Linked DNA regions of Arabidopsis thaliana. The protein of the gene in region 1 purifies or fractionates together with the protein of each later gene. This does not show direct contact. Each region holds a gene or a part of one and is shown in the gene's direction. Other genes may lie near its edges.

Region 1 (3,754 bases):
TGGTGGTGGTATTGACAATGAACCGGTGAATGTAGTAGTGGTGGTGGTGGAGCCAGGCAGCCAGCGGCGGAAGATGTGGTGACGGTCAAGGATGCTACTTCAGTTTTTCTTTTTTTACTTTATTATACTTAGATTCTGGTACTATATATATTATGGGTATAGATAATTTACACTAAAGTTTTATTTCCGTTATTTAAAATTCGTGTTTTATTTAATCTCTAATTTTCTGTTTCCAAGTCGAATTCCTCTGTACTAATTATACGGCCTTTTAATTTTACAATATGAATAGCCATTTTCTACTAACACATTCTTACCTTTTAGAGGTGTTAATTTTAAGGTAAGTTTCTTCTCTACAATTACGTAATATCATTCAAATCTGTTCATGCTGACAAAAGTTAGGTACTTTTGTGTATATTTCTCGATCATTGACATTGTCTACTACGCTAATATCTAAGGAAAGTGGCATCGATTCTACTTGCTTGTAAAACATACATCGCGATGTAAGTCAAATTCTCTAATAATGTAAGAAACGAAGTGAGAAAGAAAGATAAATCCAAAAAATTTACTTGCAAATCAATAGAGATCCAAACCAACTGCGCATGCGTTAGTCAATTGATATATTGTATATAATAGAACAAATACAATTTTTGTTTTTATAAATGTATAACCAAAAACGTAAGAGCAATACTATCGAAATAAATACGTACTGCATATTACACGATAATAATAGAAAGAGATTTGATGTTTGATCACTTGGAAGTAAAATGGAGATAGAGAAACACAAAGAGCAATACGACCGGAAACATCAAGATCATTGGAAGAGATGGTGCAGTCACCGGTCCCATCATCAACGGAACAAACAGTAACATTAGTGCAACGACAACAATCGCCAAAACCGAACCCATCCCGAATCCATACTCATTCGCCATTTTCGTCTACTTTTCGATAGGAGTAGTGATCAATTCTGTGTTAGTGTCTCTAATTGGAGAAGTTATATATACACAGATTCAGACATCAAATCTACGGTTGTGTCGTTTCCCCGAGAAGTAGAAGACAACGTTTCGTGTACTAATGCATGAAACACAAAAACTGGCGAGACCTTTCACGTTAATAACCACCTCAAAACGCTGCGTTTCGGTTTATTTGTTGCTGCCACGTGTTTTAAAAACAGCATACCCTAAACGCATCGTTTCGTGTCGCAATCAACTATTCAACTGTTACTGTATATTTTATTAAAAACGCAGCGTTTTAGTTAACAAAATTCGTGTCGCTATTTCTACACTGCCACGTGTTTCAAAATGTCGCGTTCTGCATTTGTTGCTATCACGTGTTTAATAAATTTACCTAAACGCTGCGTTTCGTTAATCAATCGACTTTTTGAACATTCGCGATCTCCAAAAATTTTGAGTTTTTTTTTTGGAAATCCCGCCCAAATATTTTGAAATTGAAACTCTAATAAATTTGTCGGCTTGTGGAGTTGCGGTAGTGATATCCTCCATTTATCGTTTTGTGCTTTTTCTTCAAAAATCAAAAGCTTTTATTTTTCCCCCAAACTTTTTTTTCAAAATCCTAAATCATTTTACCCTACGATTTTGCAGATGTCAGCTTCAACGAATCGCCGCCGGCTAAAAGATATAAACACCGGCGCCGGTGAAAATCCATCATCTGGTAAAAAACCATTGAGGTCTGTAACTCCACTTCCGATCTCAAGCAAAAATTCAAATCCCGCTCTTCAGAAATCATTATCCAGCAAAGAGAATCCGAATCCGAAGCTTAGTCACCGCTCATTTGGATCGACTCAGAAGCCAGTGCTCCGGCCTGTACCGCGCATTGATAAGTCCGCCGTGAGTGGCGAGGGTCGGGTTACGCGATCCACGTCATCTGGTTTGCGAGGTAGGAGTTCTAGTCCATCTGATTTGATTAGGGTTTTCTCGGATTTGAGAAAGAGAAATGAATCTAGGGTTATTGGGGAAAAGGGTGAATCGGGTCAGGATAAGAAGTCTGGGCTCAAGAGTTCTGGATTCAAACAGGGTACGAGTGAAATTAAGGTTGAGCCAAGTAGTGTTTGTGAGAAAGCAGATGAAGGAAGTAGTTGTCCAGTGAATTCAAGCAAATTTGAAGGTTCTAGTGTGGCGAGAAATTCAATTTCTGATCCAAAGGCACATGCTTTAGTTGGTTCTGGAGAGAAATCTACTGTTGCTTTGAAATCTGATAGTAAGATTGAAAAGACTGGGAAAGGGACTAGTGTAGCTTTAAGAAGGAAGTCTTTGGATAATGTTGGGAAGGCAATGGAGATGTCAAAGGATATAAGAGGAAATGAAGGAAGCAGCAATAGTACTGCTAAGTATCCAAGCAAGCTGCACGAGAAGCTTGCTTTTCTTGAAGGAAAGGTTAAGAAAATTGCATCAGATATCAAGAAGACAAAGGATATGCTGGATTTGAACAATCCGGATTCGTCTAAGGTTATAATCTCTGATATACATCAGAAAATCACAGGGATTGAAAAGTCTATGAGTCATGTTATTGATGGTCCAGAGAAAAACAAAACTACGAAAGCAAAAAGTTCTGTGAAAGGATTAAATAAGGAAGAGCTGGAAGACAGACTCTTGCCTCACCAGAGGTTGCTAAGGAGCAGAACTCAGTCCAAAACATCTTCGCATGTCTCAAAAGGCCATGATTCTGTTGAGTCCAACAAGGCAGTGAATGCTGAAGAAAAGCCGTCAGCTCCTGTTGAGGAGAATGCGATAGCTCTAGAGTTCTTGGCCTCACTTGACAAGGAAAAAGTCACATTTATGAGTGATCAGAATGCGCTGGAAAATCTGGAAGTGCAGGAGATGGATACAGAGGAGCCGTCAAAGGAAAATGATGTCTCAAAAGACGTCAATCTGACTTCCAACTTAACTGAAATTCTTAGAGCAAACGAAGCCCTCGAGGAAATTGATGATGAAGAGAATAGAGAGGAGATGGAGCTGGAAGAAATAGATGATGGATGCATGTATCAACTCAATGACATTGGGTCCAAAACTTCTACAGGAGGATGGTTTGTATCAGAGGGCGAGGCAGTTATACTTGCTCATGATGATGGCTCGTGTTCCTATTACGATGTCGCTAACTCTGAGGTACTATGCGTTTCTTCATTTATGAAAAGTTTTTAGTATCATGTTTGATCTAACTTGAACTGTGCTAGTGTGGAACATTGATTTTAAAATCTCATATTGACCACAACATACACATATCTCAAGTTACGAGAAGATGTTTAGCATATCTTATTTTGATTTAGATTGGATTTTTCATCTTATACTTGCAGAAATACTTAGTGACTAAAGCTTTATTTTGGGCTAATAGTATGCACAGTTTATGGTTAATGAATGTAATTCTCTGTCAATCTGGGTGCGTTTGTATGAAGTGACTGGAGTTTTTGGCTTTGTTCACTATGTATGCATTATTATCTTTTACATCAAAGACTTGAAATTCTTTTTCAGGTGAAATCTGTGTACAGTCCTCCAGATGGTATCTCACCAAACACTTGGAGAGATTGCTGGGTAGTTCGTGCACCGGGTGCTGATGGCTGCTCAGGCAGATATGTCGTAGCTGCTTCTGCTGGGAATACCTTAGAATCTGGCTTTTGTTCATGGGATTTCTACACGAAAGACATTAAGGCACTCCACATCGAGGACGGATCTTCAAGAGTTTCAAGAACAGCTCTTGCTCCTCTACCCAATAACACATCACATGGTAGGAACACTCCGGCTTG
Region 2 (3,754 bases), on another chromosome or scaffold:
ACGTTTGGCTAAACATCTATCAAGTGATTTATTATTATTCACTTTGTGTTAGGCGAGATTTTCACAAATTTATAAATTACTCCGGTTGGTAAATTAACCTAATAGAAATGAAATTCTGCGTCTTACATATCCAGAAAATAACGTTATCAGAGATATGTGTTATGACTGTAAATTAAGGATTTAAAATTGATTCGGGTAGAACGTGAGAGCTAAATGGACGTGACTTTCGAAGGACCAATTTTAGATGAAGCAGCATTATACGATTTGTTGGCGTGTGAATATGATTCTTCTACTTTTCTTTTTCAGTATTTATATCATTATTTTTGCTTCAAATAAGCAATTATTTAGCTGTACGTTGATAACTTGATAGTGTGTTTCAAGGAAAAAAAAGTTAGTCATACATTAAAAAAAAGTTTTTAAAGTTTAGGAAAAAGGTATAGAAGATGAGTTGAATCATACTATTAAAGTGTTTCGTACATAAACAAATTGTATAAAGTTAAAGTTTTGGGTTAGTTCGGGTTACAATATCACATCGAACAAATTATTAAACAACGGTATTCATGAATTTATCCAAAGTTTATATAAAGCGCAAGTAAAGTAAATAGTACCATAACGCCAAGAATCTAACCATTTTTTTGGGTTAGAAATTCATTTAATTTTGTAATTAATGTCAATATACATCATCTGATTTTGTTTTATTAAATAGACTTTAAGCTTTTTTTCCACAAATATTTAGTGCCTTGAGATTTCCTTTAATTGCCTTTAAGATATTGTTTTGAGTGTCAATGCTTAAAATCATTTGGGCCTGAACAATTAAGATAAGGCCCTTTCATTGTAGTAGACTGTTTAAGGTCCAAAAATAATACAATAACTTTGGGCCTTTTTAAGTAAAATTATATGTAGATTTTAGAGAATTCAGAAGTTATCCCTCTAAAGCTCAATTTTTCTCCCACACACTTTTTTCTTCTTTCATAAAGTAGACCCACCAAAACTTTTGTAATCAATTTTTTTTTTCTTGGTATAAATACGAGTGAGTAATTATTTACCTTCAATGTCACGCTATCTGGTCGGTCCAAAATTCCAAAAGAATTAATAACAAAAAAAAAAAATCATATGCACCACACAGATCTGCGTGTGCCATTATCATTTAATCAATTAAAATTCGATTTTCATTGCACCTTTGTCATGATCATCATCTTATGGTACCATCCTTTTATCGTATTAAAATTAGTAATATATACAGAGACTACTGATACGAAAAGTAAAATAAATACAGAGACTACTGTAGATACTCATTGCACCGTAATTTTGAAATGATCATTGTGTTTATTTTTTTAGTTTCTTCTACATTTTCAACAAATAAACAAGCTCTATTTGATAAATTCCTGACTCTATAATATTTTGATCGGTATTACTATTAAAAAAGGACCGAACAATGAACTGAAATCGAACACGAGAAGGCGTCGTTAACGCACAGCACAAAATATTTTGTGTCTTAAAAGACGTTTTGGTGTCTCTGTCATTTTATTATTTTTAATTTGTTTTGTTTATTAAAAAAAGAAGAAGAACAAAGCAAAAACGACATCGTATGATACTCATTGCTTCGGCCTTCATTTTTATATCTGAGAGAGAGACAAAGAGACAAAAGTAAGAAACACATTTTTTTTGGATTTGGAGGTAATAAATTTCAAAAACTTTTGAATGTTTTCATTTGGAATCTGAGGTTGTCTGCTCGAGAATTTTGGTGGGTTTGTGCTGAAATCTGGAATAGGATTAGGGTTTTTTCGTGAATTTGAAAATGGCGGAGCAGAAGAGTACCAATATGTGGAACTGGGAGGTGACTGGGTTCGAATCGAAGAAGTCGCCTTCTAGTGAGGAAGGCGTTCATCGGACACCGTCTTCTATGCTTCGACGGTACTCGATCCCGAAGAACTCGCTTCCACCGCACTCGTCGGAGCTTGCGTCTAAGGTTCAGAGTTTGAAGGATAAAGTTCAGGTGTGATAATGTTTTTCTGAGATTTGTATATTTGGGTTTGAGTAAGAATTATGTTTCTAAGCTCTTTCTATTGATGAGTTTGAAATTTGTGAAAGATGATGATTTTAATGTTTAGACGAGTATAGAGGTGATGTTTTGTACAAGTTTTAAGTACAATGATGCTATTTTGCGGTTGTGTGATTAAGCTATTTTTTAAGAAAATTTGGTTTTGGTTGAATAGCTTGCAAAGGACGATTATGTGGGATTGAGACAGGAAGCTACTGATCTTCAAGAGTACTCCAATGCGAAGCTTGAAAGGGTTACACGTTATTTAGGTGTTCTGGCTGATAAAAGTCGTAAACTGGGTAAGTTTTTAGTTCCCGTCTGTGTATTCCATGTGAAAGTGTAGTTTATTTTTGGCCACTATGCATTATTAGAGTGTATGCATCTATATCTATGTATCTCTTGTGATAGGAATTTTGTTACAATTCGGGAATGTGTTTTGTTCACTTATCTGCATAGCCTATCACAGATCAATATGCACTTGAGACTGAGGCTAGGATATCTCCACTTATCAATGAGAAGAAGAGACTGTTCAATGACTTACTGACGACCAAAGGTGCACATCTTCCATTTCCGACGTCATTCTCTATCCTTACTTCTATTGATATTGATCACACCAGGTTTAGATTGTTCTATATGACCCTGAATGTATAGTTTATTGTTTAATCTTTCAGGGAATGTAAAGGTATTTTGTCGAGCAAGACCCTTATTTGAAGACGAGGGTCCCTCTATCATTGAATTTCCTGATAACTGCACTATACGCGTAAACACTAGTGATGATACTCTGTCCAATCCCAAGAAGGAATTTGAATTTGATAGAGTTTATGGGCCTCAAGTTGGACAAGGTGAGTTATAATACTCCTTAAGAACTGTTTCCAATACTTTTGTAAATATGTAATCCGGAACTTATTCAGTAAAATTTCCTCAGCTTCACTGTTCAGTGATGTCCAACCTTTTGTGCAATCCGCTCTGGATGGATCGAACGTTTCTATATTTGCGTATGGCCAAACTCACGCGGGGAAGACATACACCATGGTTGCCCCTCCTTTCCCTTTCCTCTCTGAAATTAGATATAGGTCTTGTTTGGTATCCGTATTATCGATGTTGTTATGCTTAGTATCTAACTTGAGGTACATGCATACAAAATAATTTTTTCGAAGTTGCTAAAATGACAGGGGGTATGAACAGTCTTCTAATATACTCATTCTTTTTACTGCTTATTTGCATGTTTATGGTTTCAATACTTTTTGGCTCTAACCAAGCCGAGGATATCTATGTGATTGAACTTTGAAATCGCAAAAAAGTTTCATGTTATTTGACAGGATTTAAATATGATAGGCAAGTTCATGGACGTTCATAGTAAGTTCATGGACGTTCATAGTATTATCTTATCGATTTACGAGAGATTTATATATCAGGCAATTGCTCTCTGTTGATGTTAGTTATATGCTGTCGCTTTTTCTCAGGAAGGATCTAATCAGGACCGTGGTTTATATGCTCGTTGTTTTGAGGAACTTATGGACTTGGCCAATTCTGATTCAACTTCCGCATCTCAGTTCAGTTTCTCTGTTTCAGTGTTTGAGCTTTATAACGAACAGGTGCTTTGTTTTTTCGTTTTGAAGTCGTAATACTGCATTCGATACTAGAATGGAAATTGAAAGTCTTTTCTAATTCAGAAACTTTCATTTTTTAGGTCAGGGATTTACTCTCGGGTTG
Region 3 (3,754 bases), on another chromosome or scaffold:
TTGGTGTCAATGAGAGAAGAGATAAGAGGTTTGAGTCGGTAGTTTCCCTTAGAAGAGATCTAGAGACTACAGGAGAAGATGCGATAAACAAGGGGGAAGTTGTTGCACCTAAAACACCAGAGGTTAGAGAACAGAACAGCAAGGAAGTGCCAATGTCTGGAAAGCAATCTAATGCATGGCAAGCCATACCTAAGCCTAAGGGTCATTCAACACTCGATTACGCCCGTTGGAATACAGTTGAAGATGATTCCAGTGAAGAAGAAGACGATGAAGACAGCGATGACAGTGATGAGTCGCCACCTCAGTACAGATTCCGTGTTAAGACAGTCGGGGTGCGTCCTGTGAAGTGAAACATTGTAGATAGGAACATGGGATGGTTTCTTTCATCCTGATATATTGCATATTGCACAGGAGAGCTGTGAAAAAAGCATTAGAGTGAAGGGGATAGTGATACCAAAGCAGACTAGTCATGTTTTGAATTGCCTCTTCTGTAATTGGTTTCAGCGGTCACCATGTATCAATGTGCTGTGTCTTTTTATACATCTTCGAAAAGAAACATACCGAGTTTAGATAAGATACACAATACAGAAGACCATGTTCAAACCAAATGGCCTGTTGTTCTATTTGTTAATACTTTCTTTGCCTCAGAGACTCTGCTTTGTTATCACCATGAAGATGATAATGATTTAGAATTGAACAGAAATGGAATTTACAAGCTTCATTATTGATAAGTCACAAAAATACATCACTGCCAAAGTTTTGTATTCATGACATTACCAAAGCTAGATTTGATTAGCTCATATGAATAGGCCCATGCCTTTATCTATTCCTTCTCCCATCCCTTGCTTCTCTCCCATTTCCACTGTGTGTCTCTCTTGCCGTTCCTTTATAATCTCTATGACTCCGACGATCATCATCTCTATCTCGTCAACTCTCCACATGGTGTATTCATCTTCCCTATTGTCTCTTTCTTTTCTCTCTGTGTTTCTTCTCCCTACCAATACCATCATCATTCCTCCTCTCCATTTCCCTTAACTCATCCCGATGATGCTGTCTTCTACCAATGTACTTATCTGCCTTGTTCTCATTGTCACTTTCATCTCTGTTGCCATCTTTTGCCTTCTCCATTACCACGAGGACTTGTCCGACGAATCTTCTCCCTAACACCCCTCTCATCCCTGTCATGACTCATGACTATGAACCCTCTTGGGGATTTCAGGTACATCACCCTCAAATACCATATCATAGCCGTACAAAAATCTGGAAATCCAACATAACAGGAGGTTAGAAAAGTTGACAAACTAATGGCATTGACAGTAGGAAACACAAATAAGGAGGTGGCAAAGCAGCACATTAGGCAACACAGAGTAAAGGACTCAAAAGATTAAGTATGGCCAAAATATCCACATATGATTAGAGATCGTAAGAAGAAAACAACATCTTACTTGTACATTGAATCCCCACCAGCTCCTGTGATCACCGGTCTGTGCTGTGAAATCTTTTTGCACTGTGTGGAAGAGACACCCATTGTAGTACTTGATCCTATCCATATAGTAAGTTAAACCCCTTAAGAGACATAATGAATATCATGGAAATGTTACTTAGTAGATAGGCAAAAAGACACTTACTTGCAGATCTTAAGAAAGTTTTTTGCAGGTCAAAGGGCATTTATTTGTTAGATATCAATCACTCTATCCCCAAGACTTGTCACAATAAGAACTGACATGTTCACTACCTGCATAACCTGAAACCAAAAATTAGAAGTGAGAAGAAAGTAGTACGCTTTTTCACTAGCTTATCTCATTCATCAACAAACCCGAGCATTACTGTTGGGGAAGGGAAGAAAAAAGAAGAACCAAAGTTGAGTTTTTCAGATATCGTTCAAGTTCTTGGGGTTTAAAAGAAGGGTTAAATTGTAACAAAACCAAAGTTGAAGGTATTTAAATAAGAACAAATAGCTAAAGGGGTTTAAACATGAAATATATAAAAGGTCAGGGTTTCATGGTCAATATATAACTATCTCTCTCTGTCTCGGACAAAGACAAATAAAAAGTGCGAATCTTCCAATAAAAACACGCCACGTAGTTTATTTAGGCAGCCGAAGATCCCGAGGGCCCTTTGCGATGTCTCAAAGCGGCGGTGACTTCAACCTCTCCGACGAGATTCTCGCCGTGATTCCCACCGACCCTTATGATCAACTCGACCTCGCCAGGAAGATCACTTCCATGGCTATCGCTTCAAGGGTTTCGAATCTGGAATCTCAAGTCTCCGGCTTGAGACAGAAGCTTCTTGAGAAGGATCGGCTTGTTCATGAACTTGAAGACAGAGTCTCTTCCTTTGAAAGACTTTACCATGAAGCTGACTCGAGTTTGAAGAATGTTGTCGATGAAAATGTAATAATTCTCCTCAGTTTTGTTAAATTTGGTTTGACTTGGATCATCAAAGTGTGTCTTTTACTCAATTGGTTGAATTTTTGGATTTTTGGATTGAAGATGAAACTGACTCAAGAACGAGATTCACTGGCAATCACTGCGAAGAAACTCGGTCGTGATTATGCAAAGGTTCTTTCTTTTCAAATGTTATGGTATTGATTTTTGTTGAAATTTAATCATTTGATTTCAAGCTCAAGCTCTAGTGTTTTGCTTGTAGTTGGAAGCATTCAAGAGACAATTGATGCAGTCATTGAATGATGATAATCCATCTGTATGTTACTCAACACTATACTTCTTTTGACATCCTTTTATATATGAAACAAAACAAAATCAGATGTTACATACTCTCCTCTTGTTTTTACAGCAAACTGAGACTGCTGATGTCAGAATGGTTCCTCGAGGCAAAGGTATTGTAACATCATCTCAAGTATTCTGAGCTTATTGGTCTTCATTGTCTTTCCTTTTTCTTTATGTGTTAGTCTCTTCAAGAGTTGCTTGTTCTGATGTTATTTACTCTGTATGCATTGTAGATGAGAATTCAAATGGATCCTACTCAAACAATGAAGGTATTGATTGCTGAGTTATCCAATAATTTAGTTTGTAGCAACAAAAGAACATACGTTAGTCCAGAAGACTTGTTGATGTTTTCAATATAATGAAGAACAAAAAAAAACATTTTCAATGTGTAATGGTTCATGAAACAGGTTTAAGTGAAGCGAGGCAAAGACAGTCTATGACTCCGCAGTTCTCTCCCGCGTTTACACCAAGCGGAACACCAAAGATCTTATCTACTGCTGCTTCTCCGAGAAGCTACTCTGCTGCTTCATCGCCAAAGCTATTCTCTGGAGCTGCATCTCCAACATCTTCACATTATGATATACGTATGTGGTCTTCAACTAGCCAGCAATCTTCAGTAGCAAACTCTCCTCCACGCTCGCATTCTGTTTCAGGTTCACAACTTTAAAGCATTCTAATATGTTGTCTAAATTTATATCATGTGATTTGTGGCTTTGTTCTTATCCTCTCACTTGATCTTATACAGCTCGGCATCCGCGGATTGATGGGAAAGAGTTCTTTAGACAAGCCAGGTATATATAAGTTCTAAAGTTCCTAGAGCCAGCAACTAGTATATGAGAATGAGTGATAGATAGATAAGGAATTGTTTTGAATTTTCAGGAGCCGTTTGTCTTACGAACAGTTCAGTGCATTCCTGGCTAACATCAAGGAACTTAACGCCCGGAAGCAGGGCCGCGAGGTAATAACCTCATAAGCCATAACATAGTCCTTAACCAACTCTTTTAGTCTGAAATTTGTATAATGTT

The links.
Region 2: the proteins of AT4G14310 (region 1) and KAC2 purify together in Arabidopsis thaliana (affinity purification with mass spectrometry, with the first as the bait; one large-scale study listed by BioGRID). This does not show direct contact.
Region 3: the proteins of AT4G14310 (region 1) and AT1G56080 purify together in Arabidopsis thaliana (affinity purification with mass spectrometry, with the first as the bait; one large-scale study listed by BioGRID). This does not show direct contact.

What each region holds. Positions count from the first base shown.
Region 1 is NC_003075.7:8,238,169-8,241,922, reverse strand, and holds the start of AT4G14310 (Transducin/WD40 repeat-like superfamily protein), read left to right. Parts: upstream 1-1,598; coding exon 1,599-3,119; intron 3,120-3,354; coding exon 3,355-3,435; intron 3,436-3,482; coding exon 3,483-3,754. Other genes in the region: AT4G14320 (Zinc-binding ribosomal protein family protein), read left to right, coding at 1-82; AT4G14315 (uncharacterized protein), read right to left, coding at 750-929. UniProt on the Arabidopsis thaliana protein: Might be involved in division plane determination.
Region 2 is NC_003076.8:26,167,046-26,170,799, reverse strand, and holds the start of KAC2 (kinesin like protein for actin based chloroplast movement 2), read left to right. Parts: upstream 1-1,608; 5' UTR 1,609-1,798; coding exon 1,799-1,996; intron 1,997-2,216; coding exon 2,217-2,340; intron 2,341-2,507; coding exon 2,508-2,594; intron 2,595-2,712; coding exon 2,713-2,883; intron 2,884-2,966; coding exon 2,967-3,073; intron 3,074-3,244; exon of another isoform or gene 3,245-3,376; coding exon 3,377-3,397; intron 3,398-3,504; coding exon 3,505-3,636; intron 3,637-3,731; coding exon 3,732-3,754. UniProt on the Arabidopsis thaliana protein: Kinesin-like protein required for chloroplast movements and anchor to the plasma membrane. Mediates chloroplast movement via chloroplast actin (cp-actin) filaments. Required for the chloroplast avoidance response under high intensity blue light.
Region 3 is NC_003070.9:20,974,585-20,978,338, reverse strand, and holds the start of AT1G56080 (interactor of constitutive active ROPs protein), read left to right. Parts: upstream 1-1,966; 5' UTR 1,967-2,123; coding exon 2,124-2,393; intron 2,394-2,492; coding exon 2,493-2,561; intron 2,562-2,649; coding exon 2,650-2,703; intron 2,704-2,796; coding exon 2,797-2,839; intron 2,840-2,962; coding exon 2,963-2,998; intron 2,999-3,136; coding exon 3,137-3,382; intron 3,383-3,474; coding exon 3,475-3,520; intron 3,521-3,608; coding exon 3,609-3,687; intron 3,688-3,754. Other genes in the region: AT1G56090 (Tetratricopeptide repeat (TPR)-like superfamily protein), read left to right, coding at 1-350; AT1G56085 (Cyclophilin), read right to left, coding at 798-994, 1,132-1,260, 1,439-1,566, 1,817-1,824.